2 linked regions of the Astyanax mexicanus genome follow. The protein of the gene in region 2 purifies or fractionates together with the protein of the main gene of each other region. This does not show direct contact. Links are inferred from orthologs where the notes say so. Each region holds a gene or a part of one and is shown on either strand. Other genes may lie near its edges.

What was found.
Region 1: the proteins of pidd1 (region 2) and cradd purify together in Homo sapiens (affinity purification with western blotting; 8 studies listed by BioGRID and IntAct, with this or other methods). This does not show direct contact. The link is inferred for Astyanax mexicanus from reciprocal best matches to the Homo sapiens genes PIDD1 and CRADD.

Annotation. Positions count from the first base shown.
Region 1 is NC_064409.1:36,379,754-36,386,947, forward strand, and holds the start of cradd (death domain-containing protein CRADD), read left to right. Parts: upstream 1-4,121; 5' UTR 4,122-4,563; coding exon 4,564-4,882; intron 4,883-7,194. UniProt on the Homo sapiens protein: Adapter protein that associates with PIDD1 and the caspase CASP2 to form the PIDDosome, a complex that activates CASP2 and triggers apoptosis.
Region 2 is NC_064409.1:47,560,549-47,567,476, forward strand, and holds the start of pidd1 (p53-induced death domain-containing protein 1), read right to left. Parts: upstream 3,098-6,928; 5' UTR 2,905-3,097; intron 458-2,904; 5' UTR 246-457; coding exon 1-245. UniProt on the Homo sapiens protein: Component of the DNA damage/stress response pathway that functions downstream of p53/TP53 and can either promote cell survival or apoptosis.

The sequences.
Region 1 (7,194 bases), about 11 Mb from region 2:
CCCTTTGTGAACACCTTTTTGTTTTATGAGTCTGAAAATTGGCTACTGATCCGGATCTTAAATTATAATTGATTATAACTTTGTTTTGTTTTTGGCTGCTTTTTCCTGTCAGTATGTATGGTTGTGTTTCTGGAGAGACAAGGAGATTTCCAGTACAACACTCCCTTGTTTCACCAGCTTTTTACTGATAAGTGGTGTTGATTTGCGTTGGACTCCACACATGGCAGCATGTAGAACTTGCCCTTTTATGTTGATCAGTTACCACTTCTCGAAACCATGACCTGAGGAACCATTGCTTGAAAACCCAAAAGCTTAGATTAGCAGTAATGGCAGCTTCTACCAGTCGTGCTGGGACTCCCAGAGCTTTGTTTTCTTTTCTCCTCAACATGGCTTCTTTGAAGTGGTCTAAGCGGAAGAACGTATTGGCATCACCTGATCAGTCTGCTCTTTGAGCCTCTCGGTCATATCGGTCTTGAAAAAACTAACATGATACTGTTGTATACAATGGTGCTGAATTACAAGTAAATGTTTTTCTTTTTTTCATGAAGTGACAAATAAAAGAAAAAAGCTTCAGTTTCATAGGCTCTTTTTTATCTTGAGCCCTATTAAATATGAGGTTTCTAAATTCCCTAGAAAGACAATAGGGCATTTATTTTCTCTAAACGTTCGTGAGCATGTGTGTGTGTTGGAGGGAGAGAGACCTTCAATGATGGTTTTGTTTTGAGATGGGCTAGAATAGTGGCCCACTCATCCTCCAGTGTAAATGGATCCATGTCCGTTGAACCCAGATCCCTGACTAAGCCCTGCCGGGAACTGCTTCTAATGTGGCTGGTGTATATCTAGAACGGCTTTAGTGCCTTGAAACCGGTATGTGCTGCTGCAGTAGTTGCTTTCCTTTTTTTCCTAATACAAAATAGTCTATGCCTGTGCTTAATCTGTTTTGTGCTATGTGCAAACACATCAGAGCTGCAGGGGTTTTTAAAATATGATGTAGAGTGTATGTAGAGTGTATCTACTGGTTTAGTACAAGAAAGTAAATACTATTGTCAGCACTCAGAAAATGGTGCTGATCTTGTTGTTAGAGGTAAAAGCTTTAGGGGTGCTTCAGTGTCGTGTGGTCTTGAGGAAATCCAAACCTCATTAAAGCAAATGGGGTGTAATTAGTCTCACAAGTGCTCCATTACACCGGATTGATGGCACTGAAAGTTAAAGAGACATACAGGTGTCGGGTTTAGGGAAAGCAGCCCAAATGAATTCAGTGCAAGTAACGTAGAGCAGTTCACCAAAACCTCATCTAATATCCCTATCACCCCTCCCTCTGGGTTTTCAGAGAATCCTTTATCCTTCATTATGTTTGGATGATTTTATGTCCTTTACCATGGAGCTTTGCTGATTTTATTTGACATTTTATATTTATAATTCTTAAAAAAAAAAAACTGCCTGTAAAGCTTTTCTCATAATTATAGTATTAGTATACCCCTTTTACACCTGCTTCCTTTGTGTGTCATGAGTAATATTGGGATTCTGCTTGGATCAAGCCAAGCACACACAAGATCTAAAACATAAACATATTTAATCACTTAAACCAATCACCCAGCACATGAAACACCAGTAATATTTTCCATGCTACAAGCAAATCAGCATATTCTGTCGCACACAGCAATTACATTTCAGTCGGACTTAACATAGACACTTGTAACTACCCAGTGTAAATGGTTAAAATATTATCAGCACACAATACAACTACTAATCCTAATCATAAGGTGTCCAGGTCTAAACGGAGTCATCGTCTCTGAATTGACAGGGAAATGACAGACTAAACCTAAAAGCAAAAACTATAAAGGAAAAAAGTTTAGAGTTTTATTACATCAGAGTTACAAAGCAGCTTTACAGAAATCTGGGTCCAGAGTTAAAAGTGATACTGCACAGAGGGGATGTAACTGCACTGCAAAGAGAAAAAAGATAATCAGATGTGATATGAAAATTCACTTAAGTCTAAGAGAACCACTCAGTTTAATCTTAACAGACACATTTAATTTAGCAAATTTTGCCTCAAATAGGAACTAAATGAAAAACAGGATACGACGCAAATGGACAGATGATCCAGATGCCCTTATATAATAAACCCAAAATGCAAAACAGGCTAGACTAAAGATTTAAACTTTTAGTTCTTTGTAATGTGATTTATCATGTCAAAAACAACACTAGATGTTTACACAGACATACGAAAAAAAACATTTGTTTAAGATATGCCTATTAATTTAGTATTATTCATGTCAACAATGTCTGTCTAGTACAGAACAAAAATTAACTGAAGGACATTTTAGTTTAAAAAATGAGATCGTCATAAAGCAGAAAAGAAAGAAAAAAAGAAGAAATTGCAGATGCATATTAACAGTTTCTAGGGTAACAGTGAGAAAAATATATAAATACTTGGTAAGAGTGCCTTTGGGAAAACTTCAATTAACCAAAGTACACAAAAACAAAAAAAGTGAGGTTAGAGGAATTCTTCTGTAAACTGAAGGCAGAGACAGATAATCAAACATTTTTGAATATAATCCAGAATAACCTTTCCAATGGTTCAGAAAAAAAATATTAAAGACTATTTAACCATTTATAAGCAGGGATGGCATGACAGATAGAATGGAACAGAAATGTGCAGTGCAGGTAATTTAATCACTGATGGATAGATATGCACTAAAAATAGGGAGATTTAATTGTGTGAACAGAACACACGTCTTCAGGATTAGCCAAATAAAATTTACATGCTGTCTCTGACAGCTGCTGACATACCAACGCTCATTTCATGCAAATTCACTTCATATCCTGGAACAACTGTGTCAGCAACAGCAATAGTAATGCTAAAAATGAACAAAGAATATGCACACATACATCTACAAGCAGCAATTATTGGGGGTAAATCTTAATTGTATTGCCAAATGTTACCCAAACTCTTGCCTGTAGAACATAATTAGGCTTTTCAGTCATTTAAGGTATTACCTTCATGTGTATCTTAAGGCAGCAGAAACCCTTGTTTGTCAAACTTTAATACAGTTGTATAAAAAAAACTCTTGTTCAAATAATGTCATTTATAAATGTAAAGTCATATATTTATATTCTAAATACTGATACAGATGTTTTCATATACAAAATTACCACTTTAAAATAAGGCTTCTTTATTGAGGGGTTTCTAATGTTATTAATTAGGTTAGTAAACAGCTAGATCCTTATTTTACTTTGTCTTTTCCATCAGTCAGCATTAACATTTATGTTAATAATTTTATTCATTTAACTATGATAACATATTAAATTACTTAACTTACATTTTATTTTTTATTAGATATGTTAAACTGTTTTTCTTATTATTTGTGTTGTAAGTGCTTATTAATGTTTTAAAGTATTTACCACTTTATTTATAGCCATTAATAAACCCCTTCATAATATATTTATGAACCCTTTATAAAGGAGCCTTATTTTAAAGTGGTACCAAAAATGTTTTACTTTATCAGTCACATTACCCTTGGTTCTGGACAAAATCCTTGTGAACTGTAAACAGAAACATTTTAGAAAACAGCATTCATTAGGTTAACGGTGGCTTATTTTACTACTACTCTTTTTTTTTAATCAAAATGTACTTTTTATTTTGACTCAATTTTAATAGCGTTCCAATTAAAATTTCCACGATTCTGGTAAGTGAATTAATTTTTACTATGAAATAAACTTAACTTTTCATTAATAAAGGTTATGCTATAAATACTGCATAGTTGTTTAGTCTTATCATTACATTTTATTACGTTTTAAATATGAGTTTTAGTTAGCAAAATAGCCACAAAGCTAGCTAGAAATTCCCTACAATTTGTGGCACAATTTTCATTAAGGTTTCTGGTTGGTTCTACTATTTGACTGTATGATAAACTCTCCTCATAAACCACTGCTATTTTTTAAATAGTCATATAATTTTCGTGTTTCCTGAAAAACGTTTAGACGCTTATTTTTATAGGAAGGTGTTGATATTAGATTCTGACTAAAATCGTATTTCTTGGTAATGACACCTTTCTCTTATTTTTCAGGCCGCATGTCCACCAGAACCTCTTCAACATTTGTTTAATTTTCGCTTTAACAAACACGTCTAGATAAATAACAGAAGACACAGTAATGGCTGAGTGTGAGGAGCAGTTATTATGATATAAAAAAAAGTTAAACAAATGTTAAAAAAATTAAGTTAAAAAAATTAAAAACAGTGTAGACAGATGTGTGAACTAAACTTCAGTTCCCGGGTTTCGTTTCTAGTCGGTGCCAAATGATGCAACAAGAGGAAACGGTGGAGTACGGAGCCCCGATAATAACAATAACAGACCTATAAAACACAGAGTACAGGTTTAAATGTGGGGTTATGAGTCCGGCAGGTCGGGTTTTGGGTGAGTATTTCTGTTGGACCTGTGGCGAAGGGTGGCCGTGTTTGTGCCCCGCTGCTGAGCTCCAGCCTGCGTTAGCCGGATTAGCAGAGGTGCTAACAGCAGCCCTGAACTCCACCAGCCCGAAACTAACGATATCAGTGCAGCCATGGACCCGAAACACAGAGAGATACTCCGCGCGAACACACTGCCGCTCTGCGAGCAGCTGATCGTGGACGACACGGTCATTCAGTTCCTGTACCAGGAGGACATTTTAACAGAGAGCCAGGTGGAGGAGATCCAGTCACAGCCCTCCAACAAGCTGAAGACCCTCAGGCTGCTCAGTGTCCTGCCCAGCCGGGGTCCCCGCGCCTTCAGCGGCTTCCTCACAGCCCTGCAGCGCGACTTCCCCTGGATCAGAGACGAGCTGCTGCTGCAGCAATCAGGAGGAGGAGAACAGGACAGCGCGACCCTGTCCCCCTCCACAGGTCTGTCTCTCTCTATCTCTCTTTCTCTCTCTCTCTGTGTTTCTGAGGTGTAGTGGCTGCTGTACACACAGGCACAGGGCGAGGTGTACGTTAACTCGCTAACCGGAGAGTGTGGAGGTAACTAGTTTTATTCAACAGCTCTGGAAAACATGGAGGAGATGAACTGAACTCGCTGACCCAGAAGTTCAGGTTGCTCGTTTTCCCCTTCCAATGAAAAAACAACACTAGTCTGGAGTTACAGTCAGTGAGTGATAAGGTGGTGGGCTCAGGTTTCCCACAGCTCTAGACTCTATAGACAGTTCTTTCCTTCTTCTGAAGTGTCCTCACACCTTAGGAGTGACAGTGCTAATATAACTTTGTAGCTAGCTATCTAAAATAACTAATAGTGCCATGCAGTAGTAAATTTAGTTAATAAAGGCTATAGTTTAGCCTTACTATTGAGGTTTATTAAAAAACAAAATTCTGTATTTCAGTCAGCAAAATCAGCTGTAAGGTCTGTAAAGCTGGCTAGCTTGCAGTTCACTACAATTTGTTGCAAACTGTTAAAATAGAATTGTTTCAGGAGTTAAGATTGGCCCAGGGAGTTGTAACAGAGGTTTTTAAAAGGGTGTCCAAACCTCAGATGATTTCATTTTTGTTGTTGTACTGCAAAAGTCAGTTACGTAGTAATGCCATAGGTGAATGAGCTGCCCTGTTCTTTTACAACGATTTCTATCACAAACACAACAGTGCTGGGAGGTATACCGTTTTATTCGGTATACCGGAGGGGAAAATTAAAACCAGTATGCATTTTCACCTACTTGTAGAGGAGCTGCGGAGTGCTGTGTGGAACAGCACTGCTAAAGAAGCACATACAGCATAACAAACTAACACATGGGAATAACTGTAGCTCAGTTCTGTGGAGTCAAATGCTCTGTCCTACACGGGAAAAAAAATGAGAACAGCTCTTTATCTAAAGAGCTCCTGTTGCAATGTGAGTGTTTTTATGTGAGTTAAATAGAAAAGCAACAGTAAACAGCAATTATTCACTCAGAAAGAGAAGAATGGAATTACACAAACCATTCACAGCTTATTTATTTTGTTTATTTAGCACAAGTGATAAAACTCCTTAAACACTGGATACGAGGTGCAAAAACATTTCAAGAGCAGTAACTATAGCCCTGTTTAAATACATTAATACTGTAGCTTGAAGGATAATATTAATGCACATTAAATTGAATGCATTTGTTAACTGGAGAAAGAAGGAAATAATCTGTGGCTTATTTTAATACTGTAATGCCTCTAATGGCTTCAATAATAACAAATTGTAAATTGATATTAAACCTCTGTCTAACTTGTTCTATAGAACATTTGAAAAATGTCTCTTTAAATACTTCAATCAAAGCCTTTATTTAAAGCCTTAGTGTTTTATATTATATGTACTCCTAACAGCACAGCAAGTCACACACCAATATTAAAGCCCAGTCATGCAAAATAAAAAAATTATTAACAAATTTGTGAAATACCGTGAAACCGCCATAATCTAGTTGGAAAGGAGGCTCTTCTACCCCGATAGGTTGCCTCTAGCATGGATACAAGATGAGATACACTTGGGCATAGAGGCAAACAGGGTCTGTATGGCATCCTGCGGCACAGTTGCTCAGCTGGGCCTGTAGATCCTGTACACTTTATAGGTTGCCAAAGCTGACTGCCCAGCTGGTCCTGTAAATGCTTGATTGATAAATTAGGCAGTGTGTTGGAGTGAAGTGGTTCAATCCTTGCTGTGTGTGAGTGAGCACTGTCCTGCTGAAAAATGACATGCTATTCTGCCATTCTGCCATGAAAGACAATGTGTGGTTGCAGGAGGATGTACTGACATATCACTAACATGTTATTGTAACTCGTATCACCTCTTGAAGTGACAAACTTGTAGTATGTGCTGGCTTCTGATAATCACACCAGCAGTTGGGGCAGTGTTTCGCTCTACAGCAAAAGCAGGATTGAAGCTCTCATTGCAAGGCAGGTTTCTTGATCACAACACTCCTGTTATAACGACTGGCCTAAGGACATCCTAAAGTTTGTCGGCTGGGCAAAATGTCCTTGATTGTGTTATAGAACCATGTCTGTTAGTCTCTCACCAAGAGGTACACTACTCAAAAGTAGACTCTTTTCACAGAGAGCAGGAAAATTATTTTAACACCTTTGCCAAGAACTTGTGTCTGTTCAGATCACACCTTCAGTCCTTTACACTTCTGCCTGAGACATGCATGCTGAGTTTTGCAGCAATTCGGGCAGTGTTATTTTTTTTTCTTTATTGAGTCAATTGAGTGTAC
Region 2 (6,928 bases):
TTTGTATATTGACCTGCACTGCAAGCAGGTCTACTCTCCACCTCCAGTGACTGGACAGTATTCCTACTCCTCAAGTCTTCAGGCCTGGTTTCCACAGTCATCACTCCAACTGTTTCCAAAATCCTTTCAGAATCCCTTCTTCCCTGATCTTCTCCTGTGGACACGTCACGCCCTTTATCCTCTGCATACTGGTCTGTAAAGGCTTCTTCATACGTCTTCTCTCTCTCCATCCTTTCCCTCTCCATCCTTTTCTCTCCTTTCTTTTTTTTCCTTTCAGTTCTTTATCCTTTGCATGAGAAAGGAGAGAGCAGAGAGTAGAAGTGTCACAACATAAATGTGACACCTCATCTCAGCCTCCAGTTCCATAGCTGGCACTCAATCACATCACCAAACCGGTCCACGCTGAGAAGACCATGCCCAGGCAAGCCCATGCATGGAGGGTGAGACGCCACTCATTCTGCAGTAGAGAGGTGCAAATTGAAAAGACTGAGAAGCGTTAAAAACAAAAAAAAGAAAACACTAGTAGCCATGCAACTAATGAAAGAGGCTTCTCAAATGTTTTTTTGTTTCCTTACTGGACCAATTAGAGCTCCCACCCGTTTTAGAAAACTATTTTTTCTCAGTTCTTTTTCCAAGACATTTGCAATGGCCTCAGTACATGACCACACACATACACACACAGTGAACATAGCTATTAAAATCTTCTTAGCGTAAATAGGTTTTACACATATGGTGCACTATACTGAAAGTACCATTCAACACCTTGTACTAAAAGCAAATCTCTTACATAGGATAAGGGTATTTTTCAAATGTGGGCCTTATAAGTTTTAAAGCTGCCTTTGGTGAAGGAGAAAGGAAAGACTTGTGAATAAATCTCAAATCTCAGTTGCTCAACAGTTCACATTTTAAAGGACATTTAAAAAACATTTTTATATTTTCAGTGAAGGACAGTAACACAGTAAGTGCAGTTAATAAAAGAATGAAGTTTAACTTAAGTTGTTTTTGCTTGTATCCATACTTAAATACTGAAGTATGTCAATTTTGAATTACCTTTTATTCTCTCAAATATCAAATCAAAAGACAAATATCTTACTTTTTACCAGGGGTATACGAAACAGACAAAAATGTAATGTTGCAATCTGAATTTCTTAATGTTCATGGAAATTCTAATATTGATTTGAAAAATATGATCCTATATGAATTTCCTAATAATTTAGGTTTGTTTTTCTAAAAAACAAACTGAACTTTCTGAACTTTGTAGCACTCATATTCCCAGACCATAAAGTAGTTTGATGTGCATACTAGGGGTGTGTCATATTGTATTGTACCCAATTATATAGCAAAACATATTGACACGATAGAAAATGTATATTGTGATATCGCAATATTCTTGCGAGTTACTATGTCTAGCATTGTTTTAATATTTCCAGTATTTACTTTAATTGCTTGTTTGCAGTTTATATGCACGCACTAAAAATGCAGCACTTTAGTTTTGCGGTAGGTTTTTGTTGTTACTTTATTTGTGTTAGTCTAGTATTAAACACACTAATTAGGGGTGTGACAATATCTCTTGCCTTGAGATATTCCTTGACAGGTGTTGAATGTGTCTCGCGAGGTTTATGTAACCAAAACAAATATTTATATAGTAAACATTTCAGTCTGGTCTCCTGAGATGAGTCTCTTCACACCTAACTCTAATATTTATACTCTAATATTTATAAATAAAACTTTAATATTTATTTTGTTGATGTAATATATACTTTAAATATATCAATGCGCCAAGAATACTGTTAAAAAAAATAGCCTAAAATATTGTGATAGTACTTTACAGCAATGTCGCCCACTGATGAACTCTCCCTCAGACTAGTGAGGTTACGTGATAACAGTCTGCAGGATGAAGAGCCCCCTCTGCTGGTGTCTGCAGGTAATGAAGTTTGGGTTTTCTGTTATTTACAATGCTACTGCACCCCTTCTAATTTAATCCTGAAAACTCACATTGTGAAAAAAAATAGGATTTATCGTACTTTTTACTCCACATAATGCAAAACCTTAAGGAGTAAAAGTCGTTACTGCTGGCCCAGTATGCATAAACATTTATCATATCAACACAAAAGTAGCACTACACAAGCACATCAATCAATATACAGTGAACACTTTCATACAGTGAAGTAGGGATCCAGTGCAATCACACAATTTAACATCAATACAACAGGGTACAATTTGGGAATGCCCTATGTCTGCAGAAAGTATGAAATAGAACAGCAGTAAATAAAAACTAATTTATGAACCTGTGTTTAAAACAGCTTTTATTAAGTAAAGTAAAGTAAATAAAACATCTGCTTGTCTGCAGGTAATTATATACAACAACGTGGTTCTTTGTCTTCAGTGTTTTGTGTTAATGATAATTTTACTAGACAGCACTGTCAGACTAATGAATGACATTCTGTTAAAAGACTGCTGAACTAAGAATGATACCAGAGATTATTTACCTTAAGACAAGCAGATGTCAAAATGGTAGCTTTATTTCTATTTTAACTCAAACAGCACCTCTGCTCATTTCCCAGGCCTACAGTGACACTGTTAATTATAGACAACTAATCACTGCCTTGTTTTCAAACTAAGCTTACCAGCTAGCTAGATGGAGAGCTGTCATACACTGACAGTAGGCTGTTAATATTAATCACATTTAAGTTAGTTAGTTACAGCAGAGAGTGTAGAAGTTTTTAAACAGCCCAGTCTGCTAACTGGCTAGGTAACTGCAGAACACACACCCACACTGGCCTGTGCTGAACACAGTTAACCCATGCTAGTTTAGATGAGTTAGCTTCCCAGCAGCTTTCAGATAGAAAACTTTCCTGCTAAGCTTTAGCCGGTTAGCTGTGTAAATAACCGGTAAACACTCACCTCTCCGAGATTGTAGGGGTTTTTCTCCGCCTCCAGTAAATATAGCGTTAAATATATCAGCCCAAAGACGCGTTAATCTGCCAAATGAAGCTGAACGTGGTGAAGATAGGCTGTTAAACTAACATTAGTTAAGTTACTTCCTTGTCAAAACAGTGCTCCCCATATTTCACCCGCCACTCAGAATCATAACCACCGCGGAACTTTCAGGACGAGGCGGGACACAGCTCCTTAAAGAGACAGTACACAGTACACAGTACACACACACACACAGGTTGTTTTAATATTGTTTTAAGAACCTTCCATAATGACCACTAAAGCAAATGGTGTAGTAAAACATGATAAAGAGTAACTTAACTTACTAACCTTTGTTGAATAGCACACCTCTATTCTCCTACAGCTTTCTGATATTTCAGTAATTTTGTGCTTTATGCCCAGCACGGCAGTATCGGGGCATATTTTGCCCTGATTAATTGCTCTTTACACCGTTATCCTGTCTAAAAGTAGCTCCACACCTCATTGGTAGTACCCAGAGAGCCCTGACATACAAAATGAGGCATTAATAACATTAAAAGTGTTCAAGAAGCTTATTAAAAACCACTGTTTACAACTCGTAGCGTTAGCTAATCACCGGGCGCCACCGTCACTGTACTGATAATGACCAATTTTACACCGGAGTTCTCCTTTAACTTCAGTAACCAAAAATACTAACCAGCTACTAGTGTGAAACACGTATTTTTCGGACTACAAGGCAAATCTTAAAATCCTTTAATTGTCCCAAAAAATGATGCACCTTATTTATGAATTCTACCAGTCAGAAACAGTAAAGCCACTCAGCACTATAGACAGCAATATAAGGGTGAGTTTTCAGTAAACTTCCTCCATCACTAAGGCTGGGTGCAGCAGCATTAGCCACTAACTGCACCTATTGCTCTTTCGCCATTCAGGCGACTGTAGTGTGCGTTTTTGCGGTGTTAAAAACAAGCTACGTGGGAAAAAACGCTGATAGTGTCCTGGGTTACCAGAACACAGTAACAAATATATTTTATTATTGTACTCAATGAGCTTGAATGTTTACAGACCATGTTAACTTTCATCAGTTTTAACCAAAATGCAGCAGTGAGACACTAACTATAATAACTTAACATTACAAATATATATATATATAAATATATATAAATAATATATATATATATATATATATATATATATATATATATATATATATATATATTTTTTTTTTTTTTATATTCACAAATAATGATCTTTTCTGTTTTTTAAGGCTGCTAAAGTGAGTGTTATACAGGCCTTAGTGTCCAAGATTACTGTAATCAGTGAGGCCTATTTACAATGGTGGCAAGAGGAAATCAGGACATCAAGATATTCTAAAATTAAATATGGATTTTTAATGCTAATTAACTAAAATATTTAATTCTAATTTTAAAATGACAAAAAGTTTGTGTGCATTTTAAAGTTGATTAGTTGATAAAGCTGATTTACATGAAAAAGTAAGCTCCGTGTTCACTAACTTATTGATTTTAACTTGATGTGTACGTTTTATGCTCTCTGCCTGAGTACTATTTACTATTTGCTCCTGGAGTCTTCTCACATTATTTGCACTGATAAAAGCCATCCGGTCCTTGGAATGGTAAGGATGGACAGAGGAACACCAAAGCCAGGGTACTGAAAACAACAATGTCAGGGTGGTGCTCATCCAGTCAGTCCAGGTAGTCTAGCAGCTCCTCCTCTGAAAAATACCCTGAAAAAGACATAGAGAGAAATGACAAAAATGAATAAAAAGTATTAAGATAATAGTGAGAATTGGTTAGAAAATAATAAGAATGAGTGAGAATTGGTGAAATAAATTGAGGATAATCTGCAGGTTGTGTTCAGACTTGAACATCTCAGTCCAGTCTGAGCTTCAATATTCAGATCTAACCCCCAAGTATATGTGTTTTTTTTTTTTTTTCCTTTTATTGGTAAACAACCAGTGACTGTGCGGAAGCAAATTACAGAAAGTCAGATTTTAGGAAGACTTATGCTTACAGCTTGCCTAATATACCTTTGAAATTTTCAGTACATGATATTTTGTGAATATTGGTAAAAAAAAATGTTTTAAAATATTTGTAAATAACAGGATTAACGCAGGTAAACACTTGGTTATATGGCATTAAATTAACAGCTTGGTAAAGTTAATTTATTGTTCGACATTAAGCGGAGATTCGCGTTTCGGACGTTCTCTTGCTCGCATGCAACCTCCTAAACTCTCTCAAATGATATCTTTCAAATGACAGAGGAACAGAGAACAAACTACAAACACTAGATTTTCTCAAAACACCCAACTTTTCCCTTTCTCCGAGGAAATTTGCTGAAAATAGCAGGAATCGCTGCAGCGATCAATCTAAAATCACTTGTAGTCTTTAGAGACACATTTTTATTTATTTTTTACTGTAAAAAATGCTACTGTAACACGCCCACAGGACATATAGATGAAATATCACTTGACTACAGGTGATTTTATATCGATATTTCATATGAACATGTTATGCTACAGGTGCTAACGTGACCTGCAATCAGTGACAATGGAGAAGCAGACTTGTGGTGTCTGATTATGAGTATACCGAATATATGAATACAGAAATAAATTATCCAGGAAATGAATGAATGCAGAAATTATGTAAATAAATAAACATAAACATGAATAAAAAACAATTTATTAAGATATTTATTTTTAGGTATATGTATTTATTTTTATATTATTTACAATTATTCTTTACAGTTTTAATCACCACATTACTTTTATTAAGTGATTTACATACGATTTTATTTATTTATTTATTTTGGCAGATTTGGTCCTCCATAATTTTCTACAAATTGCTCCTTTAAAACACATTTTAAATGACCCTCTTCTCTAGGGACCACTTTGCCTTGGGGACCCAGTTTAAAAAATTGATTATACTGAATAGTGTTTTGATGACATCTAAATGCTAGAGCAGGTAATGCAGCCGAGATTTTTTTATTGTATTTTTTATGTATTTAATTATCTCGAGATTATTATCCTGAGATGCCATATTAAATATCAAATTAAAAGGAATAAATATAAAAAAATAATCAAATAAAAATATTTGCATCAATGGAAAGACCAGAATGTTTTTTAAACAGTGATTCAAATCACCTTTAAAAAAAGATTTGAATATTTTTGATTTTACATTTGCAAAAGAACTGAATTACTTTTTTAAAAGAATCAAATTACTTTTGTCATGTCTGAATTGAAGCTGAGTAATCTGGCCTTTTATTGGAATAAAATGCTAATAACTAATGACAATAGCTAAATACTTATCAGCAGCTAAAGTAATGGACCATGAACACAAGAGTTATTCTGTGCTTTTGGATCATTGTTAAGCCAGTATTAAATTGTTGTTGGTGTTGTTTGTTGAGTGAACAATAATACATCCTGGCTGAGGCTCAGGATGTATCATCTTCCTGTGTTATGTTACTACCATATAATCATATATAATAATGTAAAATAATGATATTACGTAAACTTCTAAACGGCGTCATTTGCCAAGGCAGCCTATTGTAGGTCATTAGTCAAGTCCTATTGTAACTGGGTGCTGTTCAGTGATTCCTCTTATAAGACTAATATGATTAAAAACCCTTTTGAAAAGAAAATCCCTATGATGTAATGTAGTCTCAGATTAGCCTACTTTTGCGCTCAGAAACACACCATTCTCCCAACTCCAGCTTAGAACCATATTTAGAACCTGTCTTAGATCATAAGAGTTATTGGCGATGAATCACCAGTGGCAGTGCCATGTAGTCCAAGAGGAAAAGAGTAATATTAGAAACACAGGATCATTCAGACATTACTGCACATAACTGCTGGTGTTTCGGTTGTTATTATTCCTTGCCTGGACATGTTGTGTTATTGTTTTGTTCCGTTTGCATGCCCCAGCTGCTGTGCTCAGAGATTCGTCCTGCCCCAGAGACTGACAGCATATTTTCCTGATACCGTTACTTTTCTTCT